2 linked regions of the Mus musculus genome follow. The protein of the gene in region 2 purifies or fractionates together with the protein of the main gene of each other region. This does not show direct contact. Links are inferred from orthologs where the notes say so. Each region holds a gene or a part of one and is shown on either strand. Other genes may lie near its edges. The genes, in order: Ep300 and Nfya.

Region 1 (3,810 bases), on a different chromosome or scaffold from region 2:
GCCACCCAGGGGGTTACAGAATAAGACCCTGCCTTAAAAACGTCAGAAACCCAAGCAAATTTATCAACAGGACTAGATAAACAATGCTTATCCTTTAAGACACAATGCAACACCATGTAAATTTAGAACAGCCTCAAAGAACATTTTTCATAAGCAAACTCTATATGCATATTCTCTTCATCTCAGTCAACCCTCTTCCAGTCAAATCATTTCTTCCCTCTGAATTTCCAGCAACCTGGAGTTTTCATCATGCCAGTTGGGTGAGCAGCTTAGAACCCCACCTGCCACATCCTTCCACCCTGGTGGCTGCCTCTCACCTCTTTATGCTTTTCCATGGTGGCATACAGTTTCTGAGAAAGGTCATTAGACACATTGGGCATACCAGGCTTCTTCTTATTGCCCCTACTCAGGCTGCTCTTGTTTTTGCTGGTTTTCTTGTTATTCTTCTTCTTAGCATTTTTGCTGTCTCCTTTTGTTACCTGTAGGGCAGCACAGAGGAGAAATGAAAAGGCTAGGTTGTTAGGATTGATCTGGATATGAGGCTGAAGTCTCTCTTTAACTCTTGACCGAGAATTCTTTTTATTATTATTATTTTCTGCAGTTACTCATCACTCACTATTTTCCTTTTAATGTTTCTTTTCTCTCTCTCTCTCTCTCTCTCTCTCTCTCTCTCTCTCTCTCTCTCTCCTTACTTCCTTCCTTCTTTCTTTCTTTAACTTGCAAGCAAATGCTTAACTATTTTTTTTTTGTTTATCTGTGTAGCTTGATGAATGTATGCCATCTGTGTGCAGGTTCTCTCTCTGATAACAAAACTGGAGTTACAGAAAGTTAAGAGATGTTGTTTTGGGTACAGGGAAAAGAACTGAACTGGGTTCCTTTTGAAGAACATCAAGTACTCTGAAGCCTTTCTAAGTTGCCTGCCAACAAAGACCCCAAGCTTCATTATGGAAATGAAAGCTTGTAAACTTGTATTTTTAGAAGAAGTCTCAATTTGCTGGGCACTGGGGACCGATGAATTTAATCCCAGCACTCAAGAAACAGAGGCTGGCAGATCTCTGAGGTAAAGGCCAGCCTGGTCTATAGAGTGAGTCCCAGGAAAGCCACGGCTACACAGGGAAACGGTCTTTAGAAAACAAAACAAAAAACAAGAAGAAAAAACAGAAAAGCCCCAGTGTGCAGAAGCCATTGACTAAAGAGGTCAGATACAGACAAGACTGAAGAATGAGTGGCACCATGGCCGGTGACCAAGGAAAGGAAGAGGGAAACCAGCAAGCTACCAAACACTCTCACCTATTCAGTCATGAAGTTACCCAAAGGATAAATCTGGTAAATAAGGGGTGGGGTGGAGTGGGGGAGGGGAGGGAGAGGGAGAAACACAGAGAACTTGAGATTACGGATGGGCACTGCCATGCTTGCCTTAAAAGGTCCTGGAGCCAAACTTAGTCATCTAGGGCCCTTGTATTTGTGCATACCATGGCACACACCTGTAGAGGCCAAAGGACAACTTATGGGAGGCTGATTCTCTGCTTCAACCATGTGGGTTTAGGGAATGAATTCTGGGTTTGGTGGCCAAGTGCTCCAGCCTTTTTTTTCCCCTTCTTTTTGGACAAGGTTTCACTATATAGAAGTCTGGCATTGGAACTCAATGTGTATCTGCCTACTTCTGCCTCCTGAGTGCTGAAATAAAAAGGTGTGTGTCACTCCTTCTAACCTGCCCCCGTTTTATTAAGCTGAAATCCAGAGAACAGTCAAGATGTGTCTGGTCAGTAACTGACCAGGATACTATGAAGGAGACAAGTTAACTCTGTTCCAGGCTTTTGTCTGCCTGTGATGCTCAGCACTTCTGGGAAAATAAACTAGAGAGCATATGCCTGTAGTAGCTATAATTTGGCCTATTAGATGTATTTTTCTGTACAGTTTTCCAGGAACTTATATTGCTCAATATCCAGGATACTACTTAGAAATACAGAGCCTCTTCGTTCTAAGATAGTTTGGCTGCTATAAAGCCAAGGTTGGCCTTGAAGTCTGGGACCCTTAGTGCTGAAATGAAGCCCATTACACTTAGCAGAATTTAAATTTTACACCAAATTGAGAGTGTAAACTCCTTTCTGTATTGTCAGTGAGGTGTCAAGGTAGACACTGCAGACACAGAAAGCCCTTACATCAGTACTCTCGTTGCTGGTGTTCTCTTCCCGTTTCCTCTCTTCCTCTTCCTGTTCAAGCTCCTTGATGCTTTCTTCTAGAACATTGGGCCAGAAATCACCTTCAAAGTAGGGTAGTTCCTTTGCACTTGTTAATCGATCTTCAGTAGCTTGTTTTAAAATATCCTGTAAAAAAATTCCCATGATTAGAATTTTTTTTTTATTTATAAAGGTTTATTTATGTCTGTAAGTACTCTGTAGCTGTCTTCAGAAACCAGAAGAAGGTATCAGGATCCTCCCATTACAGATGGTTGTGAGCCACCGTTTGTTTGCTGGGAATTGAACTCAGGACCTCGGAAGAGCAGTCAGTGCTCTTAACCACTGAGCCATCTCTCCAGCCCCTGATTAGGAATTTCTATGCTTTCTTTTTAAAATATCTATCTATCTATCTATCTATCTATCTATCTATCTATCTATCTATCTATCTATCTGTTTTTTGTTTGTTTTTTTTTCGAGACAGGGTTTCTCTGTGTAGTCCTGGCTATCCTGGAACTTACTCTGTAGACCAGGCTGGCCTCGAACTCAGAAATCTGCCTGCCTCTGCCTCCCAAGTGCTGGGATTAAAGGCGTGTGCCACCATGCCCAGCTCTATTTATTTTTTGAGACAGGGTTTCTCTATATTGCCCTGGCTTTCCTGGAACTCTATAGACCAGGCTGGCCTCAAACTCAGAGAGATCTGCCTGTCCTTCCTGAGTGCTGGGACTGAAGGCGGGCACATGTACCACAACCACCTGGTTGGCTCTGTTTTTAAAAAGCTTTCATTGTATGACAAACATGAAAATGTTCTCTAGGGCACAGGCCAGATTTAGTCACAATACTCATTTATAACAATGTATTTCCTTCTTTCTTTTAGAGAGGGTATCACTATCTATCTACCCTTGGTTCACTATGTACAGAGCTCACTATGTAAAGCAGGCTGGCTGGTCTCCTTAGAACTCAAGAGATCTATCTACTCCAGTCTCCTGAATTCTGAACCATACCCAGTTCTTTCTTTTTTGAGACAAAGTGTCCCTTAGCCCAGGATGGCCTGCAACTCCCTATATAAACAAGTCTGGCCTCAAACTCAGAGATCTACCTGCCTTTGTCTATCCACTTAGAGTAAAGACATGTACCACCATCTTACTTATGACAGATTTAATTATTAAAAATTAGATTTATTTTATATGTATACATGTTTGACTGCATGCACATGTGTGCTCACAGAGGCCCCTGGAATTAAGAGTCAAGGATGGATGTGAGTAACCATCTGGGTGCTGGGAATCAAATCTGAGTCCAAGTGCTCTAAATTACTGATCCATTTCTCCAGACCCCCATGACACTTTTGAACTTTGAATTATCCTGCCTCAGTTTCCAAATTGAGATTATAGGCAAGCACTACTTTGCTCATATGTAAATCACCTAACACCCAGCCTTTCTAAATTTGAAAATTTATGTATTAAAATTAAACTTTAATAAACTAAAATTATAACAGTTACACGTTATAAGACTGAACAAAGCCGGGCATGGTGGTGCATGCCTTTAATCCCAGCACTCAGGAGGCAGAGGCAGACAGATTTCTGAGTTCGAGGCCAGCCTGGTCTACAAAGTGAGTTCCAGGGTAGCCAGGGCT
Region 2 (4,236 bases):
TTAAAAACAGAAAACTATTTCTCCTTTCAGATCTTCAACAGAGCCCCACCCCCACTGCTTCAACCCTGCTTCTCTGACACTCTGAATTAAAGACAACTCTTCCCAACTTAGGAGTTAACCACGATATTTTAAAGTATCTGTAAAAGGAAAGTGATGGATGGTTATTATCTGCCTAGGGTTGTATTAGCCTTTTCTAAGTAAATCAGCTAGAGAGAAACAAACAGGGAGGGGCGAGAATCCAATTATTGGTTTAATTAAAAAGTGTTTATGCTTTTGACCTCAATTATTCTGATTTTCACTTCACCGATAAATTTAATAGCTGTTACGCACTCGACTTCCTTCTGGATCTTCATTAAGGCGGGTGGCCATGCTACTGAGTCGCTATTTCCAGAATTTAAGAGTTCCTTCTGCTAATGAAAAGGAAAAGCAAGTAAAAAAATACCGCTCAGGCAGCCCGAACATAGCGTGTTCAGATCACCCTGACAACCCATTTAGTCTTCCCCACCTCCTTAAGGTATTCTTTCTGGATGTGAGCTCACTCAGCCTCTAAGAGGCAACACAAAACAGCTTTCCAGGAGCCGAAGCAAAGGCGGTCCTAAGACACACCTCCTTACTTCTAGCAGGGAAGGTTTAGGACAGTCCAGAATTTTCCCAGAGAATATAGCTTAGAACGGGAAAGACCTGGCCACAGTTACACTGAGCGGCAGGGTGAGCCGAGAACTGCTTCTCAGGGGAAGATCACCACCAGTCTTGGAGGTACAGGAAGGAAGGTCTGATAAGACTTCCCCGTCTCTCCTCCTACCCTAAGGAGGGCAACCCTGGGATCCCGCAGAAAAGTGGGTACTGGGGGGTCATCCTTCACCTGCAAAGGAATCGGCCGTCAGCAGGCCCTCCTCCAAGCAGGGAAGGGTTCGGGATGAAACCCTCGTAGGTAGGAAAGCAACAGAAGAGTCCCGACACGCAACAAATCCCGCCAAAGCCTTTTGATTGTACGCACACTCAAGATGGCCGCCCCCATCCCTTAACGGGGCGGAAGTGAGCCTCTCTAGCTGGGTAGCGGCGCCCGCTCTCGGTAGTAAGGGCTTCAGAATTTCCGGCGGGAAATTCCGTAGGCTCCCGCTACCGCTCAGGCATGCGTACCGAGATGCCGACCCCGACTGGAGAAGAAGAGCGCTTGCGCATTCGGCCCCAGAGGGTGGGTCCCAGTGGACGCTTAGAAATAGGTGGGCAGGGGGGCGTGTCAGCGCCTGCGTGGTATATAATTCAGGGAGGTGTTTAAGCAGCAGCGTACGGAGCGTGTGAAAGGCGCCTGCGTAGGCCTTTGGCGGGAGGCGGTGTCAAATCCAGGAAGTGGGTGTGGCCTCTGGAACGCCTGCGCGGTGCTCTTCCTAGGGGGCGGGGCCAGGCTGGCCGGGGTTATGGGGCGTGGTCTCGAAGGCGCTTGCGCGAAGGCGGTTGGAGGGAGGCCCGATTCCCCTTTGTTCAGATTCGCCATTTTGCGAGGCAGCGGCAGTGGCGGCGGCAGCGGCGGCTGGAGCCTCTGATTGGGTTTCGGGGTCCGGTACTGGAGCCAATCAGCGCGGGCAGCGAACCGGGGGAGCGAGGCACGGTGAGTATGAGGAGCCAATATCCAGCGGCCCAGAGCCGGCCCCAGCGCCCCGATTGGCGGGTCTCGCTGACCACTCAGGAGAGGCCCAGGCGTCCGTCGAGCCCGGGAGTCGAGCCGAGGCTGCCCGAGCTGGGTAGCCAGTAGCCCCGGCTCGGAGTTGGTGGAGGCCTGCAGGGGCCGTCCAGCGTTGGGACGGCGTCCTGGAGCCAGGCTTTTCGGGATCTGGATCGTCTCCGGGGGCCGGTGGCGGATGCGCCACCGGTCCCCGATCCTCGGTCCCGAGAGGTCAGGTGGCTGACCGCCCAGCCACGGACCGTGGCGGTTTCCCCACGTCGTTCCAGCCTCATCCTACGGCCTGTCCTTGTGTGTCCCCACATTCCGGGCCCCGACGAGGCCCGTGTGTCCTGAGCTCTGCACAGTTGGGGCTACAGATCCGGAGCGAGGCCAGACTGAGACGCGCGGCGCGGCCTCCCAAGACCCACCCCGGGGCCGTTGGCGCGCCTGCCGCGCCCCTCCTCTCGGCCCGCCACCGGGGCTCCCGGGCCGGCGCCGTTACCACCCCTTTCTGGCTCGTCATTTCCTCCCCGCTCAGCCCGCGGTGCCGGCACACCTCCGTGCTGGAGCCCAACCAAGCACTCTTCCTCTTTTTGCTCAGTGTCTCGGTGTTTGAAACGCCGCTGTTGCAGAACTGATAACCCTTGTGCATCCTTAATGATTGGGGGCACACATCTCGCAGTTCCTATTATCCCTGTCTCCTCCCTTGATCTTTTCTCCCTTGGATGCTCTCTGGTTTTGTTTTCCTTTAATCTCTCCACTCAATAGCTCGGCCCACTCGTGTCTCTTTTTTCTAATACACCTTGAAATCCCGCGCGAACGTTTTCTCAACTGATGTTTTAAAACTTACACGTGCTTAGATTTTCTTTCCCCCTTCGGGGGACAGGAAGTCTTCCAAGGACTGCTAGCTATTAGTCTTTGGCGGACGTCACCCAAGTGCTGCAAGCGAGTAGGGCTAGGAGCTATGTCTGCTCGGTGGAGATTGACTGGTGTTAGTGTTTCATAGGGATCTGATCCAGTACCCAGAAGTGCACTTTACATGAGGAAGCCTATTTTCAGCGCCACGCTTTTGATTGGTGATGGAGGGTGATGTCCTCAGAGAGGAAAGACTGAAAAGAGTAACTGGAACAGATAGTGCGGTTGGACGCAGAAAGGCCGGGAGTACTGAGTTTAGGCGGGAAAGTCCAGTTGGTAAAAACCTTTGCAGGTCTTACAAAGGAATTTTTTGAAAACGGTTTTGACTGGAGGTTAAAAGTTAATCTAGAGTGGATTTCTCCCCTAACCTTGGGGGTGAAGGTTGCTGACCTGAGGATTCTACCCCATAGTCTTGTATTTGGACTGGGTGTTCTAACTTTGATTGGTATTTAAAAAAAAAAAATGGATGCATATGTCCACCTCAAAACTGCCAAATGTTTTTGTGGACAAAAGGCAGTTCTCCTCAGTCACTGTGACTCAGACCTGTGGAGCCTCCACTGGTTCCTCTGCATCTGCACTTTAAGAAAAAGTAGTGCAGACTCTCGATTTCTCTAATCTAATCACAGCCCAGGCATCTCCCTTTGTTTGAAATACTTCACCCTATACTACCTTCATCTGGGTGAGATCTCAGACTTAAACCTAACTCACATGACACCCTTTCCCAGTGCTTTCCTTGGTTTGTCCCCAGTGGAAAAGCCTCTGTCCCCCAAACTCCATTTACTGTATTTCCCTTTAGGAGTCTAATACACATTTTTGTTCCTTTTTAGACTTAAAAGCCTCTTTGAAGTTAACTTGTTTTGTTATTTAGTTCATGCTATCTCCTTAGTGGAGACAAGGAGCACACTGGAGCCTTCAAAGGCCCTAGCTGGGTGTGTGTGTGTGATGCCAGGTCAGATGGACTGCGGTGATCAGATGCTTATTGTAGGAGCATTTCTGGGCATTTCAGCTTTTGAAGATTCTAAGTGCTGGCCAGCTACTTCTGTGCCATGTAAATGGGCAGGAAATGCTATGGAAGAGAATGTCTCAGAGGCCAGAATAAACCCATTCTCATTCCTATTCATTCATATTCTCACTTTCAAAAACACATTCACAAGTCTGTAGAAGAGCTAGACAGACTAAATCCAGCTGGCTCAATTCTGTCATAAACTTGGGCACAGAAAGCGTAAGGAAAGGAAGTGTGTCAGGTTGTGTCACAGTTCTGCTGGCTGAGTTGATGGAGGAAGGAGCATATGGCCGCACTGGAGCCAAGAAGTCGGCACCATGGGCAACCTGAGGGTTGTGCTCCAAGCGCCACCACTCCCTTATCAATGCAGAATGGCTGCTGGGTTTGAAGCTGCCTCCAAAGCCCAGTAGGTTTCAATGGCCTAAGAGTGGAGCATTTGTATCAGCAAGATAACTGAGTCAACTCCAAATGTTCCTTACAGCTATTCCAGCCCTCTTGCCCACTTCAGGCTCCATTCTGCATTTAATCTGAGACGATGCAGACTTAGGACATTTAGCCAAGAAGAAAGTTTTATAGGAAAGCGTCTTGGGGCTAGTGGAAGCGGTAAAATACAGAGGTTGTTAATATCTTAAAAAAAAAAACTTTAAAATCTAAT

Evidence for each region.
Region 1: the proteins of Nfya (region 2) and Ep300 purify together in Homo sapiens (affinity purification with western blotting, with the first as the bait; 3 studies listed by BioGRID). This does not show direct contact. The link is inferred for Mus musculus from reciprocal best matches to the Homo sapiens genes NFYA and EP300.

Annotation. Positions count from the first base shown.
Region 1 is NC_000081.6:81,641,544-81,645,353, reverse strand, and holds part of Ep300 (histone acetyltransferase p300), read right to left. Parts: intron 2,328-3,810; coding exon 2,163-2,327; intron 480-2,162; coding exon 318-479; intron 1-317. UniProt on the Homo sapiens protein: Functions as a histone acetyltransferase and regulates transcription via chromatin remodeling. Acetylates all four core histones in nucleosomes. Histone acetylation gives an epigenetic tag for transcriptional activation.
Region 2 is NC_000083.6:48,406,999-48,411,234, reverse strand, and holds the start of Nfya (nuclear transcription factor Y subunit alpha), read left to right. Parts: upstream 1-1,414; 5' UTR 1,415-1,609; intron 1,610-4,236. Other genes in the region: ADP-ribose glycohydrolase OARD1, read right to left, coding at 331-369. UniProt on the Homo sapiens protein: Component of the sequence-specific heterotrimeric transcription factor (NF-Y) which specifically recognizes a 5'-CCAAT-3' box motif found in the promoters of its target genes.